7 linked regions of the Xenopus tropicalis genome follow. The protein of the gene in region 6 interacts with the protein of the main gene of each other region in a pairwise test. Links are inferred from orthologs where the notes say so. Each region holds a gene or a part of one and is shown on either strand. Other genes may lie near its edges. The genes, in order: prkab2, camk2d, rab3ip, tnxb, peptidyl-prolyl cis-trans isomerase, banp and leng1.

Region 1 (4,111 bases), about 52 Mb from region 6:
ACTCGCTCCATGGGTCCTTAGCCTAAAGGTTCATACCTTTATTACTCCCCCTGATGGTAGCCCTGACATTTCCACTTCTTCATTTACTGATGCACCATACACCATGGTGCATCAGCTGCTTTGTTTTTTAAACCTACCCATCCATAACTGGGCCACCATCTGCGCACACTGAAAATCATTTCATATATGGTTTTATCAGTATGTATATGGTCAGCTTTGCTGGTGTCAGTTACAGTACTTTATGTGGAGGCTTGCCATATTAAGTGGCATTGCTAGTTTTATGGTAGCGTAGATGTTTCGCTTTAACCTACCTCCCCAGCTTTCCAGGGGCAAAAGATAGATACAATCACACAGGACATATTACAGCAGTTGTTTTAGATATTTACATCAGAGATTTCCAAAAAGCTCATTGGAGAATTTCAAATATATAGACTGTAAGCTCTACGGGGCAGGGACCTCCATCCTCTTGTGTCTTTGACTCTTAACTTATTGCAACTGTATTTATCTTGTATTTATTGTTATACTTTGTATTTATCGATTATCTTAATAACCCCAGTTTGTATTAATGTATTCTACTGTACAGCGCTGCGTACATAAGTAGCGCTTTATAAATAAAGATATACATACATACATACATACATACAAATATTTACTTTAGTGCTACTGTTTATTTATGTTGTAAACTGAACGCTTTTTTCTTTACATACCTACTCCATTAGTGGTATGTAGTGTGACCAACTGCACTGGCTGCTTATACTCTAGCACCAACCGACAGAGAGTCATTTTCACAATATTTTTGTACACTCGCTATTGCGTATAGCGGGGAGGGCATTTCCCGGACACAATAATATGTTATACATTGTATTTATCTATTAACTTAACCCCCTGTTTGTATTAATATATTCTACTGTACAGTGCTACGTACATAAGTAGTGCTTTGTAAATAAAGATATACCTACATACAAACAATAAGGCCCTGTTTCTGTGCAGAGCAGGTTATAATGGGTTAACATAACCCTAAATACTCAGAACAACCCACTTGAACCGGAAACAATGACTTGCACAACTAGGCGTATGTATTAAAAGATGATTTATATAATTGTTATATAGCACGTTGGAAACGAAAACTAAATCGCCTTGGGGGATTTTTGATCCAGTGCTTATAGGGTTACCCGTGCCACAAGCCCTACTTTCCCCTCAGCTTCCCTCCACTAGATGGCAGAGAGATGAATCGCTGATGCAGGCCTGTTGCAAGTGGTGCTGATTTGCCCGGCTCGTCTGCCACACAATCTATTTGCTGCGTGTGACAAGCGGCTGTGCAATGTGTCACGGTTAGAGCACAGCTGAGAGCTATTCCCGGCATTGCACAGGGGCTACCCCGCTCACTCCAAGGGAGAGGGACCTGCAGCAAACGGGGTAAGTTTCCTTAGCATCCTACACTACATGTCTGTTAGTAAATAGGGTACATCGTTCTGTGTAATTATTACTCAGCAAATGACATTAGATGCCAGCGCTGGGCGCAGGGCATTATGGGAATATTTCCTTGTCAAGTTGTTGTTGTTTCCCTCCTGGCTTCCTTGCTTTATATTTCTATTCACTCTCATGTAGTTCCTAGGTAACTGCTCTATAATATACAGGTCCTTCTGATGTGTTAATATTAAATAAGTCCTGGGTGATGCCTATTGATATATGTATTGTACTAATAAAAGGAGCAATGGAATAAAGTAGCCTTTGTGGTAAGCGGAATGGAGTTAGAGGGCAAAGTAATTCTGTATCATGGCACTGCTGTTGCCATAGTTATTATACACAAGCTGCTAAATGAACTGCAGTGCTTTGCTCTAAGGAGCTCTGGGTAATATGTGGTAGCTGCTGTGTTTGTATATAACTAAACCCCATATTCTAGTCCTTGTGTTGTGCCTGTCACTCTCTAGAGATGCTGCTGGCCAGTAAATTACTGCTAATTACTGTGTCCTGTTTCCCATTAGGCTTCCTGCCAGGTGTCGGATTTACAGACACTGCGATTTTATGTCCCAGAATAGTGAAGAGGTTATTACTGTATATTTGAAAGTTACTTAGTACATTTTGTTTCATTATGGAAGATTCGTATATTTGGGTTCACATTTCCTTTAAAACACAAGCTCCAACACGTGCTCAGACGCAGCAATTTCGGCCACACTCACTAAAACCTATTACCAATATGCTGTTATCCTGTGCAGAGAACTGAGCCCAAGCCTTGCTACTGACGTGAGATTGCCTCAACCTTTAGTTCCTGTGGAGATCCCATTCAACAAATAGAATGGAACTGGATTTATAGAGCTGCTTTTTTCTGGGGATACAAAGTACATCTCCAAAGTTATGGCAGCTCTGTTTGGGTGCAATAACTGGAGCAGCAAGGTCACAAGGATCTAATGCTGGGATACATGAATAGGTCTCCATCTTGAGATCAGATGTCACTGTCCTTGATCTCATGAACCAAAGAGCCAGCTACATATAGAAAAAAACTATGTAATGATATAAAGCAAAAAAATAAGGAAAAAATTAATATACAAGGCATGCAAAGCTAGTATGGATTAGGGATACAATACACATATACAATTGCTTATTGGTAGGAGGCAATAAGGGAAGGGCCATTCCTGTGTGAGCTTACAGTCTAAGAATATTTCCCATTTTTTGTAAATGATAAAAGACAAAAAACTGTAGTGAATCTGTAGTGAATAGCCTTATTATTATTTATATTTTTTATTATTATTATTACTACCCGGTCCCTGCCCCAGTTGAGCTTACAGTCTAAGTTCCTATCAATGATATCAGTAGCCAGTTCATATTTTTGGAGTGTGAAAGGAAACTGGGGTACCTGGAGGAAATAACACAAGCATGGAAAGAACATACAGATCCCATGTGATAGAGCCCTTCATTCATTCCAGTAAAGGAGTGAGAATGAGTGTTACAGTTACCCATTGCTTATTTTTCTTTTTTATTTCTTAAACTCCAGGCACTCTGAGGCTGATATATATCATACTGAGGTCATTGTCTCTCCTTGCATTGACTTGCATTGCACATTTCTAGACACAGAAGCTGTGTAAAGATAAACCATGCTTTCTTTGCATAGCTTAAATAAGATATATGATTCAAAATTAAAACAATAGCCTGAGCCATATTAACCCTATTTATTAGTTGTACTTTTGGCTCTCTTACATATTTCCCCTTCATATAAAATACACTTTACACCACAACTTGTTTGCTTTGCAGTGGCCTGAGCCAAATATGGGTAACACAGCAAGTGATCGCTTATCTGGAGATCGGCATGGCAAGTCCCACCGTGCAGATGGAGCAACTGGGGGACACTCTACTAAGGAGCATGAGGAAAACAAAATCATGGTTGGAAGCACAGACGACCCAAATATCTTTAGTACTCAAGAATCTAAGGTATTCCAATGAACTGAAAAGCTATATGAGACTGGAGTGGGAATGTGATCTTTTAATGCCATAGGGGTCATTTACTATGACCCGAATGCTAGTGTTAGAAGGGATGCAAAAATACATTCCATAGTGCTTCTTCTAAAGAGTTTATTATATGTGGACCTCCTGCTGTTGAACTACATTTCTGAGAAATCCCTTGACACAAAAGGTAGATAGCAACAATAGCTGGAGACCCACAAGTTATTGTTTCCCGAGCTATAAATCTATTTCTAATTTACATTTTGGCAATGCAGCACCCTGGTGACTCAACGTGGCCCCAGGAATCAGAGGATCCTGGAAAATCAGCTCAGCAAGGTCGTCCCACTGTAATCCGTTGGACAGAAGGTGGCAAAGAAGTCTTCATATCTGGGTCATTTAACAACTGGACTGCCAAAATTCCACTGATTAAAAGGTAGTACAACTTACATAAAAATAGGCATATATTGGTTTTGTATTTTTTAGTTTACATGATTGTCTTACCTGTAACTCTCTAGCTGGGCAGAAGTCATACTTTTTAAACATATCAGGGAAGGCTTAATATTTTTTTCCCTAACAACAGGTAGCTTTTTTATTTGCACAGTGGCACCTGTTTAAATGAAAGCAGCCCAGGGGCATGTATACCTATAGAAATATTTATTAACTTAAAAGCTAT
Region 2 (4,101 bases), on a different chromosome or scaffold from region 6:
TTACATGGGTTTATCCTATAGGCTACAGATCTCCCACTGGGTTTAAAGCTGAAGCCGGGATAATAGCTGATCAGGATAATAGCTGATCAGATTCCCAAACCACAAAGGCCTGGGCTTAGGGAAGCATAAATTTAGGTGCGGCATACCACCCAGCCGCTCGTAAAGAAAACCTTAGTGCATCCTGTCCCAAGTGCTCTGTATGTAAGCTAAAAGGACACGCATGCGTGCGATCCTGCTGGGGGGGGAAAATGGGGGCAGCTTATGGGCCCCATAGACAGAAATCCGGCACTGAAGATAGCGCTGAGGTCTTGCTGGCTGGTATGTTTTGCTACACAGAGGTTACCTTTTTAGCCACACTACTGACTACAAGTCCAGACATGGTGCGCACCAACTCCATTGCTCTACTTTTCCACTACATTAGTAGTTGACTGCTGTCAGTTCCTCAGTGTGGAATCAATAACACCATTAGTATCACATTCACTTGCCACAAGTCACCTGTGAATATAGACACAATGCACTAAGGGAATTATGGTCAGATCCATGGTGAAGGTAATTCCTGGGTTCTCGTGTGTCAATGATATCACTTGTGCATAACTCATTAGGCTTGCAGCAAGTTGCAAAGGCGCCTGTATGGATCTAAAAGCCTTTCTGAATCAATCAATGCATGCATAGTTTTGCATCCATTTTAGCACTTCTGCTTGCTTTCATAAATGAACCCTAGCAGGCCCATCAGCATTTCAGCATGTATTTGAAATTGAAATTGAAATTGCACCAGGCAGGTACTTCTTCTGCCTACCCCTAGTCTGCGCTCTCTAGCCCCCCCCACCTCTTGACATTACAGGCAACCCCAGCAATCACTCAGGGGCAGGGGATGGGGGAAGGTGGCCAGCCATGTTGCCTAGGGTGCCTCCCTGGCTTGGCTCTCCTCTGGCACCTGTACAGACTTTGTGCCTTTTATTACATCACCCCCTTTGACTGCTTAGTATATAGTTAATATGCACACTTTGAATGCATAGCTGCTTTTACCATGACTAGTGACATGGTTCCTGTATAAAATCAATAGTTTTGACAATATACTAGGATAAATACGTTGTGTAGGCTGGAACTAACGCCCGGTAAGAAGGTAGAAATCATGAATACAAAAAAGAAATTTACTAATGGCTTGAACTGAATGTTTTTTCTTTCCACACCATTTTTAAATCAAAAATAGCTTTGCTATTAGCTGAGGAAGTTCCTAGTTTTCTCTAACGATGTTTACTTCCACCCCCAGAGCGTAACAAACAGAGGGATTTCCCGGTAAAACACGCAGGACATGATGGTGCTATGATACCCCGTCCGATATCTCTGTGGACTCGTCTGCTGTTGTTGAGTCGCTAGAGGGAGGTGCGTTCCATAGAACGGTAGGGGGGGGAGCGAGCAGCTCGTACCCACTCACTCGCACACAGAGCACATCTAACCCGCATAAAATATAACCGTGAGCTGTTCCCTCTCGGGCTGCCATTAGAGGCAGCGGGTCGGAAGCAGTAAGACATTAGCCTGCGCTTTCTGAGAAGGGTCCTAGCGGCATGACCGACCTGCAGGACGCCTTCGCGTTTTTATAGTTTTGTCGCTGTATTTGGTTCCTCTTTCACCCGATATGACACTTTCCTTCCCCAATGCGTCTTGAGATATTCAAGCTAAAAGGAGCCAGCAGCTGTTTGTGACACTGTCATTTTGCGCTACTACGTTCTTTTGTTTTACGCTGCGCTCCCCACAGGGAAGCGAAAGTGAAGCGGAGACGGGGAAACGCTGCAAATAAGGCAAAGCACTAAGCACTAGAGAGCAGTGACCGTGTGAGCCGACCCTGCTGCGTGAAGAGAGGCGGGGAGGAGGAGGAGGAGGAGGAGAGGGGCACAGGGAGGAGGGAAAGCCGAGCATCCTCCCCAGGCTCAGGTTAGGAGCTACTCTGCGCCCTACTGCTGCCACCTCGGGATCCCGCCGCTGCCGCTTCTCTTGCCTGTCATTGCGCTGCTGCGCGTCCCCTAGCACCCCGACCGTGCACCACCAGCGGAAAAAAGCAGGGGGAGGAGGCGCTATGGCTTCAACTACTTGCACCAGGTTTACGGATGAGTACCAGCTCTTCGAGGAGCTAGGAAAGTAAGTAGCAAGAACAGATATGGCTTCATTGTCTGTGGCCCAGCAGCGCCTAACCTGTAGCCCTCCAGCCTTGGGGTCATGGGAGTTATAGTTTGTCAACACCTTAGGGCTGCTAGTTGGGCATTCCTGGCTTACACATTAGCTCTTTAATATTATAGGATGTATGTGATGTATATATACACATTATATAATAAATATATCATTTGTGTTTATGCGTAGAAATGGTCAGTTGTAGTAACTGCCCACTTGTGAAGGGCTGGAGGGACAGCATTATAGATGCCCATTTTATTTTTAACATTTGCCCAGAGGTGAACTTGTGGGAGTTTGGAAGAAATACATCACTAAAATATATATGCGCCTTGTCTCATTTGTATCTTCCTCTAATGATCTGTATGGCAGACCATTTGCTCAGTAATTGTGTCAGAATCATAACAAAAGTTACACAAGCTTAGCCAGTTAACATGATTCTCCTCTGCCCCAGCTGAACACCCTGTATTGTGACTCTGGTGTTGAAACGGTTAATTGCATAATTCATTTATTTATAGTATATGTGGGAAAAAGTGACGCATAGACGCAGCCTGTGCCCAAGTATGTTTGATTGTGCCTATCTACACTAAAGGCTCGTGCCAGGAAATAGTCCATCAAGTGTACTTTGTTATCAGCACTGCCAGTGGAAGTATGCAGTTTGAACAGCACATGGATGAAAACTTGTGTCATGGTAAAGGGCTACAAGGAGCAGCAATTGAGGTTACAGCTGAGGGAATCCCTACCCTGTAGATTCTTTAAAGGTACACTCCATCCAAAAATTGTCTAGATAATGGTAAAACAATGTGTTTATCCCTCTGTTCTCTGATTCTGACTCAGGGCCCTGGAAGACATGGATATATGTCATAAGCGTTAATTCTGTGCATTTGGATCGACACAAGTAAAAAATAAACATTATTTGCAGCAATCCAGCTTAAACACAGGAAATTGCCTTCTTTCACATTTTCCCGCGATTAAGCCGGATTGGTGCAAGTAATATGTTTTTACTTGCAATGATTCAAATGTTAGGCAAGGGGAAGGCATTTTCACTTGTTGACCATAGTAATGCATATTTACCACGGCTGCCAAATCTTCCTATGTGCCAGTACCCTAAAAGTATCTTGCTTTAGCTACATTGTTTCAGTAAGCATAACCAAAAGTGCAGAGAATATAAGCAGCCAGACTAGGGTTGCTACCTGTTCAGTATTTTATTGACCTTGGTGGAAAAAAATATGCCTGAGGCCAATGTTATTAATAGGAAAGATATATAAAAATATGGTAAGGTTGGCATTTTTGTTTTTGGAATCAAGACAGATGCAGCTTTCAACAGTCCCTTTAAAATAATAGCTTCAAGTCTCTTTAAATTATATTTTCTTTTATTTTTTTTGGGAGGTGGAAATCCCCTATAACAACAGAGGGTTTATACAAAAATAGATGCCATGCACGGAATGTTCAGCAATGAGAAATGCTGTAAGGACAAATAGCCTAGTGCTATAAATAGCAAGCAAAATCTTAATACACTGCTGGGGGGTGAATATTGCCTGGCAATACAGTGTAAATGTAGTTGGCCAGAGCTTCAACCAGTGGCTCGGAAACACAGTCTGGATACCTTATATTTCTCAGGGGAAATGAGGGAATTCTTCCAGCTATCATTGCTGGTGACTCACACTACAGAAATTCAGGTCAGTGTGGAAACATCTTGCTCTCCTAAGAACTGATTAAATTGCATCTTTTTATGCTTTCACTGTGTCTGGCCACTTGAATTTTCTCAAATTTGACCTTACTCTTTTATCTATCACTATAATATGTATTGCCCTAAACATAATGACACTCCGTTTAAATATCCACTCTTGACAAAGAGCTCATGGGAATCCTCCATCCAGAGCCAGTTACAAGAGGCATTTACTAGTGTTGAGAAGGAAAGACCATTTCGGTTTTCGT
Region 3 (4,032 bases), on a different chromosome or scaffold from region 6:
GATTGTTCAAGAACTCATCTAGGCCCCTCTTAAAGGCATTAACAGAATCTGCCATTACCACATCTCTAGGAAGGGCATTCCACAGCCTCACTGCCCTCACCGTGAAAAACCACCTACGCTGCTTCAAATGGAAGCTCTGTTCCTCTAATCTAAAGGGGTGACCTCTGGTGCGTTGATTGTTTTTATGGGAAAAAGAACATCCCCCATCTGCCTATAATCCCCTCTAATGTACTTCAAAAAACATGTTATATAAACATATTCTCCATTTTACTTTGTTTCTGGATAGTCTAATATGTAAGCATATGGCTAAGCAATTCATAGTGTAAATTGTATTTGTTTTATTGAAGCTATACACCTGAAAATAACATTTTGCCTAATAAAAGAAATTCTGTTATTTGCAAATGCTTCTGTCGCTGAATGCAAAATTTGCCTTTTTCCTTCACTTCTGGAGCGCTGGTCTCATATGTAAACACAAGCTAAGCAAGGCATGGTGTGAATCTTATTTATTTTAGTGAAGCTATACACCCGAAAATAAAATTTTGCCTACTTAAAATAATTCTAAGCAACTTTCTAAAACATGTTCAGTAGTTGCAAAGTTATTTGCAAATGCTTCTGCCACTGAATGCAAACTTTGCCTTTTTCCTTCAACACTAATAGTTTATATCGTTTAAACAACGTAGAAGTTCAGCCTTGCATGCTTTATTACAAGTCAATCACTCAGCTACTACATCGTTTCACAAACCACAACCACCAGGGCAGAGAACAGAAAACCGCTTAACAGCAGCTTGACTCTCAATTGCACAGCAGGCAGCACTCTATTTCCTTCTTTTTGTAAGAAACTTCGCATTTTAGTTTTAGGGGCATTAAATTGAAATTTAACAGAAGACTGTCCCTCTTGCAAGACCTCTACGTTTCAGGATGAACCCTTGGCTTGACCCAGGATCCACAGTAAAGCTCATTTGCCAGCTCCCTGACACAGCACTCCTAGCACCCTCAGTGTGGGCAGCCCGACCTACTGCGTGACGTCACCAAAGCGCTTCCCTTGCCTCCACGCAGGTGCGGCGTACCCGTGAGCGCTCATTGGTTGGAAGGGATCGCTGACGTCATATACGCGCGTTCCTGGCTTGGCCGGTGAGTGCGCCTCTTGCCCATGTAGTTTGCACCTGCTGTTCCTGGGGGGAGCGCGCTGCGCGGGCACGGATTCGGACTTGTATTTCTCTCTCAGCGTGTTGCAGCCATAAGGCTTTGACAGGTAATAGGGTGACGGGAGGGAGACGCTTGGGGATTAGGGAGTCACACGAGCCGGTTTCTTGATAAGGGCATCGCGAATGTCATTTCTTTTGTGATTGCTCGTCCATGCTATTGTTTGTGCGAAAGAGCCCGGAGCTCGCACTTCAGCAGGTTCCTTGTATATATATGTGGCTGCCCTATAATGGTTGATTTGACCCATCTGGCGCATCGTAGCTATGTGTGCCCAAGCAACCGAGTTTTGCCTTAGGCTCACGAAACGATGCATTAGCAAGTGCAATGGAGCATAGTAGTGCTGTTCATCTGTAGGCCTCACCCTGTAGGCAGGTTAATATGTTCTTAGTGAGTAGCCTGAGGCTGTCTTATTGTTGTGGTGCACTCTATTATCTCACTACTGTATACAGCCTATTGCTGTCCAAGGATCCTGGGAGTGGTAGTCAGACACTCGAAGATGTCCTACCAAGGGCTTTTAGACAAGGGTAGTCCTCTTTTTTTTCTTTATTATTGTTGTCAGGTGTATTTTTATTTTGTCAGTACTTTATTACAGAGGACAATACTTTTTTTAAGCAAATAGCTTTTGCTTCTCTTAATTGCACCACGGTTCATTGTTAGAAAAAGTCATTTTTCCAATTGAGCTGAAAGCTATCATCTTTAGGTATCATACATACTTTCCGAGGAACAACCTGTAACCCTGCAAGTTATACAGTATAACATCAGTATTTTTTGACAGCCCAAATCTGTTAGGAGTTCATTGAGGGGGGGACAGAGGCTGAGCATAACTAGAATGAAAAAGATAATTAAACCCATGAATTTAGTTTTAATTGGGTGTGGGAATCATTCTGTTTGTTAGTGTGCACACAGTATACCTTAGGTCTCTGTTGTTTCATATATTGTTATCCCCAAGCTTTACACAGTTTGCCTATTCTGTATGCTGGGATACCCCTTTTGCCCTATAGAAATATGCCATATTATAAGTGGATTTCATATGATTCTAAGAATGTTCAATGTATTTTGGAGCCTCTTGGATAATAGGTTTCTGGATAACAGATCCAGTTACTGCTGTAAAATACAACGGAAGACTATGTTGAAACCGCATTAGTGTCAAAGCCAAAATGCTTACCCAGCTAATTGAAGACACACAGTACTAGTAGCAGCTACATGCAGTGGCTAATAAAAAAGACAATGCTGATCATTAACTGATGATTGTCTCTATGTGTGTTTTAGCAGAGGCAATTCTCAGTATTGTCTATGGCAGGGTATTCTCTGGAGTTTAGTAGCCTTGAAAAAGTAGCTGCTACTAGTAGCCCTAAAAGTATCACATTTTGGCAACTTGCTGTAATTATGTTACAAAATTAACTTTGTAACATTCTTGAATCCAGTCACATTTTTCTGCACTAAAATTGCAGAATGTTTTTATGGCACTTTTGGGAATAACATATTGTTAAAACTAGGCTATAGGATGCCCACTACACATTATTCATTTTAATTTAGGATCCTTTAAAGCTAATATCACCAGACAATTCATATCATTTACTTTTGTGGAGAAACACATAAAACCTGCCTATAGCACATCCAATTTTTTTTTTCTAAATGCCTATGTCATGTTTGTTGTTTGAGTTTAGGCTGCCATAAATGTAACCACGTAGCCTGTTTGCCCAACTGGTTGCAAGTATTGGCCTTCAGGTAGTCGATTTAGACAGACATTAATAAAATAGGAATGTGTATTAACCAGTCCATATGTACATAAAATTCGCAGGGTGGTGTTGACCGCAAATATACAGGCCCTTATTTGTCGGACCACCACAAAGGCCAGGGCCTAGAGCGGCAAGTTTTTTAGAGCATGCTGCCCATCAGCATCTGTAATTTTCCCTTCTTACAGACACCTCTGGAGCATTTGGGACTGGACATGCCTGAGATTTTGACAATTATTTGAATCTCCTGTGTCCAGTTCTCAGTGCTACGGGTGTCTAGGAACTAGCAAGCCAGCCACGTGCATGGGGAACACAACAAATACATAATATGTATTTGCATGCATATGTGCCTTTGAGGGATACCGAAGAAAGCCGGCTTAGGGGTGCACTATTTTGAAATCCGGCACTGCTCATATATTCAAGCTATGCTTCCACTTTTGTTTGGAGCAGCGCCTCAAAAAGTTAATCAATATTAAAGATGTAGCAGACTTTACACATTTTGTTCACATGACACCTCTGTGAAAGGTGATTATAGTCTTAAAAGGACAAAGAAAGCCTAAATCATTGGGGTGCCAGTATGTTGAGTATCCCCTCAGTGTATCAGGCTTAACTTTTTTGTAATTGGTGTTATGTATATGAATGTAATATGTAATTGGTGTTCTCACCAGATTATTAGACTCCACATGCCAATTAAAAGACTGATCGTTATCGATGCTTGTCACTTTGAGAGAATAATGCAGGATTCTGTCTGATATACACACATACTTAGCCTATCCTGAAAATGTCTATGTTCAGTGACCTACAAAATTTATGCAGCAGTATCTGGTTGAAAAAACAAAAACAAAAAGTAACTAGTTATTTTCTTTTCAAATACTGTAACATGACTTCAAAAAGTAAAACACATATTGCTTATTTCAACTGCTTTCTAGTTTTTTTTTATACACATTTTCTAAAATGTAAGCTTTAAAAATGAATATATTTTTCACTAAGATTTCCTAGAAGTAGTTTAAAAAAATCCATGCCACCAGTCTTCTTAATTGCTACAGCTTGACGCATTAGTTGACGTATTCATTTCTAAGTCCCAACTTAGATG
Region 4 (4,061 bases), on a different chromosome or scaffold from region 6:
TAGCTGCCGATATTGGTCCCTTGGACCAATTTGGCAGCTAATCAGCCTGTGTATGGGCACTCCCGACGAGCCTGCCCGACCGATATCTGGCCTGAAATCGGGCAGATCTCGATCGGGCAGGTTAGAAAATCTAGACGGATCAAGGACCGCATCGGCTCGTTGATGCGGCCCCCGGACCGACTTTTCCTATACCCGCCGTTATAATTAGATCGTTTGGCCCCAGGTCCAAACGATCGAATTACCCTGGATTCTCCCGATATCCCCCACCCGTAGGTGGGGGATATCGGGAGAAGATCCGCTCACTTGGCGACATCGCCAAACGAGCGGATCGTATGGTGTATGGGGACCTTAAAACAAAAGAAGGAAGGTGAAAAAAATATTTATCAGTCATCATGAGTGAACATTTTTAATGGACAAATGTGGGGGTAGCAGACAGAGAATTTAGAAAAACGAAAAGAAAATGAAAAATACCCACCTGAGCAGTAAATAATAACTATGAAAATAATGTATAGATTAGTGAATAGGTGAGAATAACAGTGAGAATGATATAAAAAAAAATAATACAATAGGTGAGAATAAAAGAGAAGATACACCATTTTAAAAGAAAAAGAGTAAACACGTTTAAGAATGACAAAGTATAGAATAAGCGAGACTGAGAGAAATAATGACAGAGCAAGTATAAAACATGTTATACATAATGGGTAAGAAAGCCAACAAGGATGAAAGAGAGAGAATCAGTAAGGGTAATAGGTAAGGATGACAGAGACAGTATACTATAGATGAGAATTGTAGACATAATAGGACGGGTGATAATGACTGTAAGAATGATAATGAGACAATTTAAAATATATAGTGTAAAAGAGTAAGAAGAACAGATAGAAAAAGTATAGATGAGAAAGAAGAAAATGACAGTGAGAGGAAAGAACTCATCAGAGGGACAGAAGGAAAGTTATTTGAAAAAATACTGTAAATGTCAATGAAAGAAAACAGAACAAAATAAGGATTGTTGTGGGCAGTAAACAGAAGATGAAAGCCTGAAAGAAGAAGCTGAGAATGAAAATGTAATAAAAACTAAATTAGATGAACAGAGAAAACCTAAAAGAGACAGAGGGGGGTGAAGGGAAAGGGTGAGAAAAAATTTGAGTGGAAGAAAAGATGAATTCATGTCATTACAGATGTATATCTGCATTTTACCATGACATCATCATTTGGACATATCTCTCCCTCCCTTCTCTCTGTTTCACTCTCTCTCTCTGCCAGTTACCCCAGAGCAGCTCTGAGGGAGAGAAGACGGGCTGAAACTGGGCAGAATCTTACAGAGAAAGGAGGAAGAGCAAAGTGCCTGAAGTCTTGTGAATTGGGTTGATGGCTAAGAATGACAGAGAGAGTTAAAGGGCAAGGAAAGACTGAGTCAAGGAATAAAGTACAAACTGCTTGAAAGTGAGGCGGGCTCATCCTGTAGGAACAAGCAAGAAATACAGCAAGGAGCAAAAAAGGGAAGACCACACTGGAGCTGGCTGCAAGCAGCAATCCCTGATACTTCACTGAAAAGGTAAGAGCTGAACCTTTCTCAGCCCACCATGTCTGCAAGGGGGTGGGTTTTCTCTGAGCTTTAGGTAAATGTCATTTTGAGGAAGAACAAGTTCCTGTGAGCAGAATACATTTGGTCCAGTGCCTTATATGCTGTTTCATTGTTGTACAGTATTTTATGTTGGTGCTTTATAATAAAATGTAACAGTGAGTTTACTGTAATGGGTCTATTGTAGGAAGCCCATACTGACAGTTTATATTTCATAATTACCTTTTTCACTATTTATGAGAGCTCTTTTTATTTTTGGTCATTTAATTTAGCTTTTCATGGTTGAACTGAAGCCATCATGTTTTACTGGCAGGTAGTGCACCGTAACTCTCATGATATATATATAAACATAATTAGGCATTTGGCAATATCCCAGCAGTTTTTGCCAGATATGGATTTTGTTGAAACCTATGTGACTTTAAAACTGTGGACAAGTGATCATGACAAGCTCACAGCAATTTTTTGAGGTTTTTCAAATTTTAGTATAAAAATTAGGATTTGATCCAAAAAGAAAGAATTTGGCTTATCCCTTATATGTATATATAACATATTAAAGAGGTCACACACCAACAATTGCAGTGACCTTGGTGCCATGTTATAGTTCATCACAGCCATCACATGGAGTATAGCACTCACAGGATTTGTGCAAATACAAAAATATAGTTTTATATATATATATATATAAATATCACTGCTTTAAAATTTCACCCAGGTGCACAGTAAACAAGTATACACTTTTTTGACTATTATAAATTCCGGGTGTTGCATGTTACTATAAAAAAAACTCTATGGTTAATTAGATTTGTTACTGTAAAGTCAATTTTATTTGAATGAAACTTGATGGGCACATGTCCTGGTTTGGAACTACACTGGTGGAGTGCATATTGTTTGTCAGATTACATTTGTCTCATGGATAATGTAATACAGGTCTGTACACCAAAAATTAAAACTAGGAATATTGGCAGCTGTTTCCATTTGTTTTGACCCAAAGACTTTGGAGTAATTATATCTTTACAAACATATTAAACTATTAAACTGAGAATGTTTTTCAAATGTATAGTCTTGTCTTCTTCAGGATCATTTTGGTGAAAGTGTGTATATGATAAACACACACACAGGCTTTGTTGCCTGTAGTCCAATGGTTGAAAAAGGTGTTTGTTTTTTTGTTCTTGTTGTTAAGCTTCTGGGTAATTTCAGTTATTGTACATGTGTGAAATAGAGGCAATAATTTAATTTAAACAAAGGAACTGTCAAACTAGAAGAAGAATTGCAAATAAATGAAAAAAAACATCCACTTTACATTTCACGGGTTCTGGTTTGTACGGAATTTGAACATTTTTAAGAAACAGGGTGTACCTGGCTTTGGAAGGGTTAATACATACATTTATGGTCAGGTTCTGCAGAGGGTTATTGGAATAGCAATTTCATGGTAACATGGGACTGTTAGAATGCAAATCACTGATTTTAGAAGAATGATATTTTCCAGAGACTTCACTGATATTGTACAGGATAACATATCCATATAGCTCCGGTATAATGAAAAATATATATGTTGACAAATCCTCAAATTGTTCATATTTAACACACTTTTGCTTGTGTTTTCTCACATCTGTCTTTGCTTTTTGGCAACATGGTCTCTACTTCAACTCACTTTCTCACACCCTCCTTTCTTCACTCTCACCTTTCTTACCTTCTTCTTTTCCAACTTCCTCAACTTGACTTTTCTTGATTTTGCTTTTCCTGCATGTATTCACTTGTTTATCTCCCTTTGCATCCTTATCCTTTTTTTTTGGTTCTTCCATTCTCACTTCTTAGGGATTCCTCTGCCTTTATCATGCCCTCTTTCCTGCCTCTGCTCTTCTTCATTTTGTTTTTCAAGGGTTGTCTGGCCCCTCCATCCACATCAACTCAATGTCCAGATGCAGGAGGGGTGCGAGCTCTCCTCAAGCGACTTGAAATTTTGGAAAAGTTGGTTCGGGACATAAAAGGACAGTGTTCACCTCCATGTTGTGGAAATGTGCAGAGTGGAGCTGGTAAGTGTACAGGGGTGGTACATCTGTACCTGAGGTAATGCAGATCCCCCTCTCTAACCCGTAGGTTCCCAAACAGTGGGAAAAGTTAGTTATATCTGCTGAATATTATATGATCAACTACTATATACAAATGTTACTTTTACCATATGGCCACTAACTTTTAGCAAAATCATTATATGGAGCAGGTTTTACTTAATGAGTAATTATTATTTTGTTATTGTTCTAAGGAAAGCAATCTGTATACAGCAATATCGTAACCACGATGCATTTAGAGTGCATGCGCTCATATACAAAGTGTATAGGGAAAAGATAACACTTAGATACAGTTGAATATTGGTTGGCTTGGAACACCTACTTACTTTTAGTATTAGTGGCTCTTATTGGCAGAAAATATATGCTAATTGTAAGTGGGTTACTGTAACAGCAATGTTCTGGGATTGGCCTTGACT
Region 5 (4,036 bases), on a different chromosome or scaffold from region 6:
CCTGCTGCAAAGATGCCACATCCTGGATGGAACTAATTGGGCTGCAAACACCGATACATTATGTACAATACCTTCCCCTAAGTCAGTGCTGTCCAACTTCTGTGGTACCGAGGGCTGGAATTTATCTGGCCTACTTGATGGAGGGCCGATAATGGAAGCCAGTTTTGACCACTCCCCTTTTTTAAACAACACCCACTTGAAACCACACCTATGTTATCACATGACCATACCTATATTAATAGTGTTAGTAAAGCAAAAACCTGCTATACTCTGCCTTCCCTCCTCCCAGCAGCTGATCAGCAGAGCAATAGGAAGGGAGCAAGATAGCAGCTCCCAGTAGGTATCAGAATAGCACTCAATAGTAAGAAATCCAAGTCCGGCTTGGGACTCCTCCAGTTACATGGGAGTAGGTGAAACAATAGGTTACCTGAAAGCAGTTCTAATGTGTAGCGCTGGCTCCTTCTGAAAGCTCAGACTCAGGCACAATGCACTGAGATGGCGCCTACACAACAAATATTACAGCTAAAAATACATTTGTTGGTCCAATAATACAATTTTAAATGGTAGAGTGAATTATTTGCAAACTGAACAGTGTAATATAGTTAAAACTATACCACAAAAATCATGCAGAATCCCTTTAATAAATTGAATAACAGGACCCAGTACAGTAGTTGATGGGGCAAAATCTGAATAGATTCCACTGATAAACTGGACAGCCCCACTGTCCAGCTTCTTACTAACCTCATAAAAAGCAATTAAAGAAGAGGGAGAGGGTTAATGGCTGGAGCCTGGGTTTGTATGTCTAACAGTCCATTGCATATTTCTTTTCAAGAGTGTTAGATTTTTTAACATTCAAATTTCATCCACAGAAATATAATGGGACTGACTGCTGGGGAGACGTAAGACCCACAGCGCTGTTATGAGCAGTGAGGTGGCCAATGGGAAATGCCTCCTAGCCATTGTTATTTTGGGGGTTTGCCTTGGATTGTGAGGGGACTGACAGTAGCCGAGGTCACAGTGATTTGCTTGATACCATCAGGAGGACAAGAAACGCTGCCCAGCTAGGAGATGTTACGGAAATAGCATTGTGTTCATTCTGTGCTCCCCCCCACATTAATCACATAGCATTTGGTGCTACCCACAGCATATCCTACAGGATTAGAAGAGGAATAGACTCAGCTGGTATCAAATATTCTTGGTTCCAGTGCTTTGGCCAGGCTGCCCTACTGAGCCTTATCTGCTTTCCCCTGTGACTGACAGCTAGGGCTGACTGACAGCTAGGGCAGGGGGAAGCCTAGGTATATATAAGACAGGGGCTCCACCCGTCCCCACTATAGCATCCCCCTCACTCTACAAGCTGGGCAGCCTCGCTATGGAGAACAAACGAGTGTTTTTTGACATATCCGCAAATGATATTCCCCTTGGTCGGATAGTGATGGAGGTAAGTATGTCCCACTGAGATGCACCAGTATGGGGTGGGAATCCGACAGGATTTTAAAGGGAATCTTATGTTTTCACTGAGGGGCTCTGATAGCTGATATGTACAGAAGCGTTTCTTTAAAGGGCTTGTTCACCTTCAGGGTTACTTTAGAATGTTATAGAATGGCCTATTCTTAGCAAGCTTTCATTTGGTCTTCATTTTTATTGTTTTTGAATTATTTGCCTTCCTCTTCCTGACTCTTTCCAGCTTTCAAATGGGGGTCACTGACCCCACGACCCTCAAACTGTTACTCTGTGTGGCTACAGTTTTAGTCTTATGGTTACTTTTTTTTACTTCTATTTCTATTTCAGCCCTCCTCTATTTGTATTTCTGTTTTTTTTTTCCAAACCACTACCTGGTTGCTAAGTGAAATTGGACCCCAGCAACCAGATAGCTGCTGAAAATCCAGACTTGAGAGCTGCTGAACAAAAGGCAAAATAAATCAGAAACCATGAGTAATAAAAAATGAAGACCAATTGAAAATTGTCTCAGTCGTTTAACCTGTAACCCTCCAGTTGTTGTTTAACTGCAGCTCTCAGCACTCCACTGAGGGGCTTGCAAGTCCCATCTACAGTATGCAGGAGAATAAGGCAAGATGTAGTGACATTGTAATATGATGTTGTTTAGGTATGAAACTGAAACAAGCATCATCCATCTACCCTATGTGAATGTCAGCCCATGGGCAAGTGTCCCTGTCACAGCCAGCAGGGAGCCCATATTGTCACCCAGCAGCCTGAATGCTGGCACAGCTCAGACTAATGTCCTGATATGCAGAGAGCGCAGAGCCGCTGATGTGACAAATCCAGGGCCACAGTCCATTTCTGAGGCGATGCTAACAGGGCAAATACCTCGCTTCTCCATGCAAGTGTATGGGTGGGATATTTTGGATGAGCGGCCAGCTGATTAAACAGAAGACTTACTTTCTAAACCTTATTAATCCCACCGAGTCGTGCTGGAGCCTGTTCTATCTCCAGTTTAGGCGTTACGGCCACTGTCCCCAAGTATACACAGTCCTTCCATGGGGCCCGTCACCTGCCCTGACCCTGGTGCCAGTAGCGGTGGGACAGGCTGGTTGAGGCATGTGTACTCCATATATATTGTTTCTTTTCTCTCTATATAGAAATATATGGCGTCATCATAGAACCAGACTTACTCTATATCCACATTTTGGCTGGAGTAAATCTCTGCATATTGCAACCAACCAGCAATTAGCTTTTATCAATTACAAGATCCTGATATCTTTAGCTGAGTCTGTGCTGCTGAACTGCACCTTCTAGTTGTGGTGAGGCCTTAGCACCCCTAGATCTGCAGTCTACACCATAACCTGCCAGTCCCACCAAACTGACTTGCTAAGAGCAGGGGGTCCAAATGCTTGTTGTTTTGTTCTTTCTATTTATTCTTCTCTATCCCTTTTGTCTGTAATGCCTGAGAAATACATGACAGCGCCCTGCATAGAGGAGCCAGCCCTGGTGTCCCAGACAGAGCCACACATGGCCATGCAGGGGCTAATGTTTCATATTTCAAATAGCCCATTGCATATTTCTGTTCCGGGAATGCAGGGGGTGGATGGATTCCAGACACCTGTAATCCCCACTCTTGCCTTTGTAGTGGCCGTCCCAGTTGGGGATGTACTGGGAGATAATCGCTCAGATGCTTAGTACCTTGCTTAGACGCCCTTGCCCTGCCAGAGGGAATCCAATCCCATCTCTGGGCCCAGGCATTTCTTCTATCTTTGTTTCATTCAGCTGCACGCCAACATGTAATGCTCCTAAGCCTGCTTGTGTCATATTCACTCACATGAAGGTGCAACACCATGTTAAAGATGGGGGGGGGGGGTGTCCATCTAAAGCAGGGGTGTCAAACTCAATCACATAAGGAAATCTAAAACACAGGCTAAGTCGCGGGACAAATTTTATTAATATACTTAGTAAGATACTAAGGGGTATATTTATCACAATGTGTAAAAAGGGGAGTAAGGCATTACCGGTGATGTTGCTCATAGCAGCCAATAGATGTTTGTTACTGTTGAAATCTGATTACTGATTGGATGCCTTGGGCAACATTACACTCTACTTTTTACACAGCATGGTAAATATACCCCATAGTTACTATGTGAGAAAATGGAAATTGATCAGGCTGGATGGCCAGACACACTCACCAAATGCCACATAAAACAGTCAGGTGGGCCGGATTTGGCCCCCGGGCCTTGTGTTTGACATATATGATCTAAAGGATTTGACATAAATCAGGGACATCAGTGACAGGACAAGTTCAGTGAACTTGCCAAAATCAGGGACCTCCAACAGCATCCTATGGCAGCACTTGATAGAAGTTGAAAGGAACCCCTGTGATGTAGGGGCGCAGGGCACATTCTCTTTCTGCCTTACCCTATAGAAGCCCATTGGGGAGTTACCTGCCTAAGGTACTGTCTTCTTGCCCATAATGGCTCCCTGTTCTCCTGACTTGTCTATAACGCAAGTGTTTTATCTGCTGTTTGTGGACAGATCAGTCATGAGGATTATGGGAGATTTAGACCAGAAGTGGGAGCCTGTGCTT
Region 6 (3,500 bases):
GTTCACAGATAGTTACTGTCTGATTTTGTTAGTGTTTGAGTGTTAGTGACACTCAAATGCTCCGTGGTCTGGGCAGCTGGTGAGAAGCTAAAGCTAGGGGTCATTTCAAATCATCAAGCCAAAAATGACGTCATAGATGCTGATGCTACCGGGCTAATTATTAAACTGTGATTCAGAATGCACTGGTTTCTGAGCTGTCATATAATGGACCTGAATTAATTACTAATCAGCTTCGCATTGTGACTTTTATATTGTCAATATGCAGTATTTCGTGCGTCTTTAAGTTTAGGTAACTGGCAGCAGCAGAGAGCATGTGTTATGGATCAGCAGAAAAAAAATGATAGGAATCTACTTGGGGCATCTTCAAATTTACAGATCTTTACTGCAAACAAGCTGTAGTAGCCTTGGGCTTCTACAGAATCTCAAAAAATAAAGTGCAGCATTTCTAGTCCTTTGTTAAGCTTTAGCTTTCCTATAAATCATTTTTACATGTTTTTGTAGACACCTATTCTTCAGCATCACAAACTCAACAGATTATGGATTGTCCCATATCCCCATAAGTGTTACAAATAGGGTTTTGGGCACTGGTGCTTTATATAAAACTTTATATGAAAAAAAACAATAAACAGTCTTTTAGGAAGTATGCAAAAGTCACATAATAACTGAAAATGTAGTGCCATTAAGCAAGCCCATAAAGGGAATATTCATTAATAAACTATATTTTACTAAAACATTTGCTATTTTGTTTAGTTTTAGTCTGAGTTTAAGAACAAAAATGAATGCATTAGAAGGGATGTCGTTGAATCAAATGCAGAACCTTTGGAACAAGGGCACAGGATGCAGATCCAAAACTCAATGCCAGCAAGAGTTTATTCTTTCAGCCTAGGAACTCCTCTAATACTGAGAATTCTATACTTTTAGTGACCAACAGCAGCGTTGACACAGAGCCTGTTTAGATATTAATAATATACTGCTTTAAGTTCTCAAGTTCATTAAGTCTGGATTCTCACAGAGAAAGTTTGGCCTTTCTGAACTTTTGTAACTGTAAAATAGGTTTGCAAAACTAAAAGAAGCCTTTTTTATTAAGTAAATGCTTGATTCACTGACAAATCAGCCAAAGATATTATTTAATTGCTCCAGAGACCAGGTTTATTTATGTAAGCTAGGAACGGGTTGTTTTTATAATATTAATGCAACTCTGTGTCTTGGTAACACAGCTACCAGAAGTTTTCATATAATTCCCTGAGACCGAATATCACCCAGATTTGTAATAAAAATAAACAGCCAGGCTTTAATAATAAAATACTTAGATTCCTTGAATATTTTTTTGGGCAGGTGTTTCATTTTACTTTCTCTGTTTTGAATAATGATTGACAACAACTAAACTTGCACACTAAAATCAACTTCCCATACCTTATCTGATAAGGGATCATTATTTATGGTATACTGTATTAAAAAATGGGGTATGCCTTTAATAACTATTAGAGTTGCCACCTTCTGGCAGCAGGAACTCCGGGTACAGTTGTGGAATGAGATGTTGGTGTAAGGCATGTGACAGCAGTTGGCCGGGCTATGACATAACAACCAGCGATTGGTCGATTGCCACATGAATTAAGGGGAGGCCTGTCCAGATTTCCTAATTTAGAAAAGCAGGTAGGGGGTTTTGACCTGGAGAACCTGGTTTTTGAAAGGGACAGGTGGCAACCCTAACAAATACTTAGTACACAGTGAGCAGTCGAAAAATTAGTATATAAAGCAGAATGGGATTTTTGAGGAAATGGGGCTTTCTTAATTAATGGGGCAAAAAAGGAGCATGTTTTAACAGTGTCATGCAGAACTGTGTGATAAATTCATTCAAAATCATTTGTGACCAATTGAATGAAAGCTGAGCATGCACATTTTCAAGACTTGAGAGGCTTTATTTTTCTTTCCAGCATGTTTTTTTGAGCAAGTATAATCTTTGTTTTATGATGTCATGGAATCTGCCTTCTGGGATGAAACAGCTATTTAAAAAATATAATTATTCTTAATTATTCTTAAGAAGCAGCCTTCTTATACAAAAATGTAATTTAAAAGAAAAAAATACATCCTGATGATTTTCAATATGAAGATGTATTTTCGATAGATGAATAGATAGCTAGTAGAGCAGAGTTTAATGTAGCTCAAATTATAGGTTACTGTATTTTTTTTCTTAGATTTGTTATGTGGTGTGATGCTTTTACTAGTGGTTTTTCATGGTGAACGGTGAACATAATTTGCTTTCTTTCTGGTATTCAAGAGGCAGCTACACACTGTAGTAATCTCCCCGAAATGCCATCACAGCGGCGTCTGCGATTTACATTTTCACTGGTGGAATGGCATTTCAGGGAGATTAGTCGCCCGCGAACAGGGAGATTTGTTGCGGGCGACTAATCTCCCCATGTGCCAGAGCCCTAAAAGTTGCCACTTTTCTGAGATTTTTATTTGTCAAAATAGCTAAAAATTCAATACAAACTTTAGAGGTTTTGGATATTTGGCGCCATTATTTGTGCAAGATTTCTAAAAATACACAGTTTTTATGTGACAAGTTGAAAAATGTGTGATTTTTCCCAACTTTTCTGTGACTTTTCCAGTTCAGACTTTTTAGTATATGTAAGACATTCGTAGAAACAAGTTTATTCGAATTAAAAAAAAAAAAGTTATTTTTAGTAAATCTGCCCCCACATGAGTTTCTTTGAGAAAGTCATCAAATGTGACCAAAGCTTTGTAAGAATATTCTAAATAAATTTATTAGAACTGGTGAGTGCAATGTTATGTTATATTTAATTACTTTTCTGTCCATTTAATGTGCTGTCTGATCTTACAGTACTATAAAGGCATATACTGAGTATGTTCATAGACATATATTGTGCCATGGTTCAAATCAAATGACAAGAATCTTTCTTGGGAAGCACAATCCTTATATCTGTTTCTGTTTCAACTTAAATAACAACTCAAATAATCATATATATCTGTTGTAACAGGTTAATTTTTGTGAGAGGCATGGAATCAGATATAGTGATGCAACAGATTTTCACTATCACTTCTAAAACAATGGTTTGCATCAAATATGTATATTTTGTTCCAATCTCCAATCCATGTTGTTTATGATTTAAGTCCTACCACCTTCTTTCCAACCCTCTTCTATGTATTGTTAAATGGGAAGCCTATGTTTTGTATGCATGCTAAAGCTTTTAATGGTAATATGTACTTCTTTTGCTTTTTAGAGGATTATCCTAATGGTACATGGTTGGGGGATGAACATAATCCAGAGATGAGAGTAAGAAGTCCTATAACAGCAGCTGACATGCTGCACATCAGTACCAACTGTCGAACAGCTGAAAAGATGGCGCTTACTTTACTTGATTATCTTTTCCATCGAGAAATCCAGGCTATCTCCAACTTGTCAGGCCAGGGGAAACATGGGAAAAAGCAACTGGATCCATTAATGATCTACGGAATAAGATGTAAGTAAAGTGATT
Region 7 (3,563 bases), on a different chromosome or scaffold from region 6:
ACAGACTTGTTCAGTGCTGGGAAACTGTACTTATTGCTCCCAACTCCAATTGCAGGAACAAAGAACAGGAAGTCAGAGTTACACAGATCAGCTGGGATTCTCATTGGAGAATTTTTTTTGCATTTTAATGCAGCCACTGGCCCTGGAGATTTGGGGAAAGGTTTTGGAAATGTTTCAATATTGCTTTAAGAATACAACCCCTGATGTTACTGGACTACAGCTCACCCTTCATTATATGTTAAATTGTTCTGGGATTTGTAGTCCAGGAACAACTGAGTAAAGTTTGGTTGAGCAGTGCTGCAGGCTTTAGTGTACCTTTAAACCAGGGGTCCCCAACCTTTTTTACTCATAAGCCACAGTCAAACGTAAAAAGACTTGGAGAGCAACACAAGCACCATAAAAGTTCATGGAGGAGCCAAATAAGTGCTGTGATTGGCTATTAGGCAGCCTCTATGCACACTATCAGCTTACAGGAGGCTTTATTTGGTAGTAAATCTTGTTTTTATTCAACAAAAACTTGACAACAAGTCAGGAATTCAAAAATAACTACCTGGTTTGGGGGCACTGAGAGCAACATCCACGGGGTTGGGGAGCAACATGGTTGGAGATCACTGCTTTAAACCCTCCCATCATCCACAGTTTAGGAACAAAAAAGAAGTGGAACCCTTGTGCCACTGCCATTGTTTCTTATTTGAACTCCTTCCTTCCTAAAATGGTGCAGGAGTAGGAAGTCTTGTCCCAAATCAGCCCTTGTTTTGTCCATTAATTGCAAACAATCTGGTTTCCACAGTCTGCACATCAGACGCTTATTCCTGCCCCGGCACTGTGGATATAAAAAAAGAAAAATCAATTCACAGCCTACAATTAAGTGCTTGGTAAGTATGAATGGTGCCTACAGTAGCTCTTAGTTCTCTTGTTTGCACAAATATACTAGCATTCTCCCATGCCATGAAAAAAATCCTAAAAACTCAAGATTAGTTTTGGTTTATTTCATCCATTTTAATTCTTCTAAATTAGCCCTTGTTTTAAACTGTTTCTACATTTCTCCCATCCCTAGTTTCCCCTCTTTCCTTTCTGGTCAAATTGAGAAAATTATTTTATTTGTTCCCTGGCCCAAGCTAAAACTAAACAAAGCAAAAAAAAATGTTTTTTTTAAATGAAAATCATAAAGACTGGGAACGCAGTGACTTTTCCCTGTCAGAAGTAGGCGCTACAAGCAAAGACAATTACAATAGCAAGCGGACTCAAGTGACATGCCACAACCAACAGCTTATCCTTATGTGACACGGACGTACTCCCGCCCCCAAAGGTTCGTACGTACCACGCCCCCGCGCTTACGTTATGCGGCGTGACGCAACGATCTCGCGAGATGAGATTTGTGACGTCTGGATTTGTGTCCGGAAGGAATCACGGAGTTGAAAGTTAAAGCAGGATTATTTGGTGGAATTGTGACAGGACAGTTGCCATGAATATCCTGCCTAAGAAGAGCTGGCATGTGCGTAATAAGGATAACGTGGCCCGCGTTAGGAAGGACGAGGCACAGGCTGCGGAAGAGGAGCGAGTGCGTAGGAAACGGGTGGAACTCGCAGAACAAGAGGTGAGAGTAGCGCTGCAGTGAAACTATAGACCCCGGCTCTAAAGGCACACTAGGCCTTATATACTACAGAGGCAAAAATGTGCATGTTGCACACAGAGAGCGATTGCGCCTGTTTCTTGCATCAAGCTCACATTGCGCATATCTCTGTAAAGGCGCGGAATGGTATACCGTTTGACACTGGCCTTGTGGTCAAATGTTCTCCATGGGGCAGTGGTTCAACTGTAATACTCTTGGCATCTCCAGTAGATCTACATTATTCTTTGGTACTCAGTCATGGAGACACTGCTGCCAGAGGGTGCCAGGTACATTAGACGGAAGGTGTCTTGGTTGCACATGTGTGTTTGCCGTTTCAGGCTCGGACAGATTTCCTGCGTAAGAAGGCTCGTCTCTCCTTGCCAGAAGAGTACAGGAGTGATGGGACTTCCTCGGTGGAACTCACCAAGGATTCTGGCCACATCAACTTTTTTCAAGAAGTGGAGGAGGGCAAAGGAACAAACAAAGGCAACAAAGAATATGAAGAGGAGAAACGTAAAGAAAAGGTCTGTTATTTTACTTTACTGCAGGAGAGGCTGTGTGTTTTGACAACTTTTCCCTTACTGTATTTTAAATTATTTGTATTTAACTTGATTTCTTAGGTGGGTTTTGCTTTGTTTTTTATGGATAATTTACACAGGAGCGGCAAGAAAAAACCCTGGGCATTCTTACATATTTAGGACAAAGTGCTGCAGAAGCCCAAACCAGTCGCCCATGGTACCAGGAAGTCCCTGGTCGCCACTGTAAGGCCGAAGATGGCAACGCAAAGGATGAAAAGGTGAAAAACCTGTTAGATCCTTTACATGACATGGAGAAATACTTGCAGAAGAAATCTGGAGAAAAGAAGAAATTTAAAGAAGAAAAGCAAAACAAACATAAATCCAGGCAAGAAAGCAGGTAGGTTAGACAAAATTGGAATTTGCTGCTAGTCTACAGGTATTCCTGCTGCTTTAATTAGAAGCCCATGGATCCCAGTGCTCAATTAAATCCACTGCCTTTGTCTCTCTAGTTCTTTTGTTCTGTGCTGAATGAGCTAACTCACAATGTAAATATTTGGCAGAAGTAGTAATGTAGGCAATGTCTCCAGCCTCTAGAAAGTTTGGTCTTGGTAGGAGTGTGCTGCATGATTTAGAGTGATTTGTTTCTTTGTCTTGTAGACCCACCAAGCCATCAATAGAGCAACTAAGGCAGGAACGTCTCAAGAGAGAGGCAGCAGAGAGAGCTCGGGCTGAAGCCTTGCTATCAGGGAGAAAGGAGTCTGCAGAACCAGAACAAGAAATGGATGACCGAACACGCCGTTACAATTCTCAGTTCAACCCACAGCTGGCACGAAAACCTAAAATGCGAGAAGAGCCACAGCGGTGATGTTAAAGAAACTAATGGCAATATTTCTACATCTCATAGCTCTGATAATAAAATGTATATATTTCCAAGTTGCTGTAGAATGTCCTAATGCACTTGGGTTAATGGACCACAAGCCCCTACAAAATGCCAGACGTCTGCACTGAGTAGCAGGACAGGAGAGGATTACCCATTTTTAAACCACACAGGTGTGATAGAAAGTAAATTCTACATAGGTTGTACAGCAGTGCTTACATACACCAAGGCTTTTTCTTGGTTGCAATTATATAAAACTGGATTCCTGTAATTGGTGCTCTACTTTATACCAGGCAGAAAAATCATTCTAGAACAGGAGTTTTCCTTATGCCTGTTTCTACATGAGATTAAAGAAAATGTTGTTTGATACAAGGAAGATTAATCATGAAACAAAAGCACTGGGGAAAAACATGAAGTGTCAGGTTATTGCCAAAACAGTCACATAATTTGGATTGTGAACTACACAGGGATAGAGAGGTCTGGCATGTTTAGTGATTACTGTCTTTTCAACAATGAAATCTCTCAAACATAAGTATACATTTTCAGAAATATGCTT

The links.
Region 1: the proteins of banp (region 6) and prkab2 interact in binary tests that used the Homo sapiens proteins (3 or more experiments, as listed by UniProt). The link is inferred for Xenopus tropicalis from reciprocal best matches to the Homo sapiens genes BANP and PRKAB2.
Region 2: the proteins of banp (region 6) and camk2d interact in binary tests that used the Homo sapiens proteins (3 or more experiments, as listed by UniProt). The two-hybrid records come from large-scale screens. The link is inferred for Xenopus tropicalis from reciprocal best matches to the Homo sapiens genes BANP and CAMK2D.
Region 3: the proteins of banp (region 6) and rab3ip interact in binary tests that used the Homo sapiens proteins (3 or more experiments, as listed by UniProt). The two-hybrid records come from large-scale screens. The link is inferred for Xenopus tropicalis from reciprocal best matches to the Homo sapiens genes BANP and RAB3IP.
Region 4: the proteins of banp (region 6) and tnxb interact in binary tests that used the Homo sapiens proteins (3 or more experiments, as listed by UniProt). The two-hybrid records come from large-scale screens. The link is inferred for Xenopus tropicalis from reciprocal best matches to the Homo sapiens genes BANP and TNXB.
Region 5: the proteins of banp (region 6) and peptidyl-prolyl cis-trans isomerase interact in binary tests that used the Homo sapiens proteins (3 or more experiments, as listed by UniProt). The two-hybrid records come from large-scale screens. The link is inferred for Xenopus tropicalis from reciprocal best matches to the Homo sapiens genes BANP and PPIF.
Region 7: the proteins of banp (region 6) and leng1 interact in binary tests that used the Homo sapiens proteins (3 or more experiments, as listed by UniProt). The two-hybrid records come from large-scale screens. The link is inferred for Xenopus tropicalis from reciprocal best matches to the Homo sapiens genes BANP and LENG1.

Annotation. Positions count from the first base shown.
Region 1 is NC_030680.2:118,092,817-118,096,927, forward strand, and holds the start of prkab2 (5'-AMP-activated protein kinase subunit beta-2), read left to right. Parts: upstream 1-1,311; 5' UTR 1,312-1,416; intron 1,417-3,249; 5' UTR 3,250-3,264; coding exon 3,265-3,426; intron 3,427-3,713; coding exon 3,714-3,871; intron 3,872-4,111. UniProt on the Homo sapiens protein: Non-catalytic subunit of AMP-activated protein kinase (AMPK), an energy sensor protein kinase that plays a key role in regulating cellular energy metabolism.
Region 2 is NC_030677.2:69,463,113-69,467,213, reverse strand, and holds the start of camk2d (calcium/calmodulin-dependent protein kinase type II subunit delta), read left to right. Parts: upstream 1-1,301; 5' UTR 1,302-2,074; coding exon 2,075-2,136; intron 2,137-4,101. UniProt on the Homo sapiens protein: Calcium/calmodulin-dependent protein kinase involved in the regulation of Ca(2+) homeostatis and excitation-contraction coupling (ECC) in heart by targeting ion channels, transporters and accessory proteins involved in Ca(2+) influx into the myocyte, Ca(2+) release from the sarcoplasmic reticulum (SR), SR Ca(2+) uptake and Na(+) and K(+) channel transport.
Region 3 is NC_030679.2:59,166,644-59,170,675, forward strand, and holds the start of rab3ip (rab-3A-interacting protein), read left to right. Parts: upstream 1-1,232; 5' UTR 1,233-1,252; intron 1,253-4,032. UniProt on the Homo sapiens protein: Guanine nucleotide exchange factor (GEF) which may activate RAB8A and RAB8B. Promotes the exchange of GDP to GTP, converting inactive GDP-bound Rab proteins into their active GTP-bound form.
Region 4 is NC_030684.2:73,758,478-73,762,538, reverse strand, and holds the start of tnxb (tenascin-X), read left to right. Parts: upstream 1-1,261; 5' UTR 1,262-1,552; intron 1,553-3,394; 5' UTR 3,395-3,413; coding exon 3,414-3,612; intron 3,613-4,061. UniProt on the Homo sapiens protein: Appears to mediate interactions between cells and the extracellular matrix. Substrate-adhesion molecule that appears to inhibit cell migration. Accelerates collagen fibril formation. May play a role in supporting the growth of epithelial tumors.
Region 5 is NC_030679.2:126,260,463-126,264,498, reverse strand, and holds the start of peptidyl-prolyl cis-trans isomerase, read left to right. Parts: upstream 1-1,236; 5' UTR 1,237-1,372; coding exon 1,373-1,441; intron 1,442-4,036. UniProt on the Homo sapiens protein: PPIase that catalyzes the cis-trans isomerization of proline imidic peptide bonds in oligopeptides and may therefore assist protein folding. Involved in regulation of the mitochondrial permeability transition pore (mPTP).
Region 6 is NC_030680.2:65,883,095-65,886,594, forward strand, and holds part of banp (protein BANP), read left to right. Parts: intron 1-3,245; coding exon 3,246-3,485; intron 3,486-3,500. UniProt on the Homo sapiens protein: Controls V(D)J recombination during T-cell development by repressing T-cell receptor (TCR) beta enhancer function. Binds to scaffold/matrix attachment region beta (S/MARbeta), an ATC-rich DNA sequence located upstream of the TCR beta enhancer.
Region 7 is NC_030683.2:104,890,696-104,894,258, forward strand, and holds leng1 (leukocyte receptor cluster member 1), read left to right. Parts: upstream 1-1,432; 5' UTR 1,433-1,465; coding exon 1,466-1,597; intron 1,598-1,950; coding exon 1,951-2,136; intron 2,137-2,270; coding exon 2,271-2,527; intron 2,528-2,787; coding exon 2,788-2,995; 3' UTR 2,996-3,063; downstream 3,064-3,563.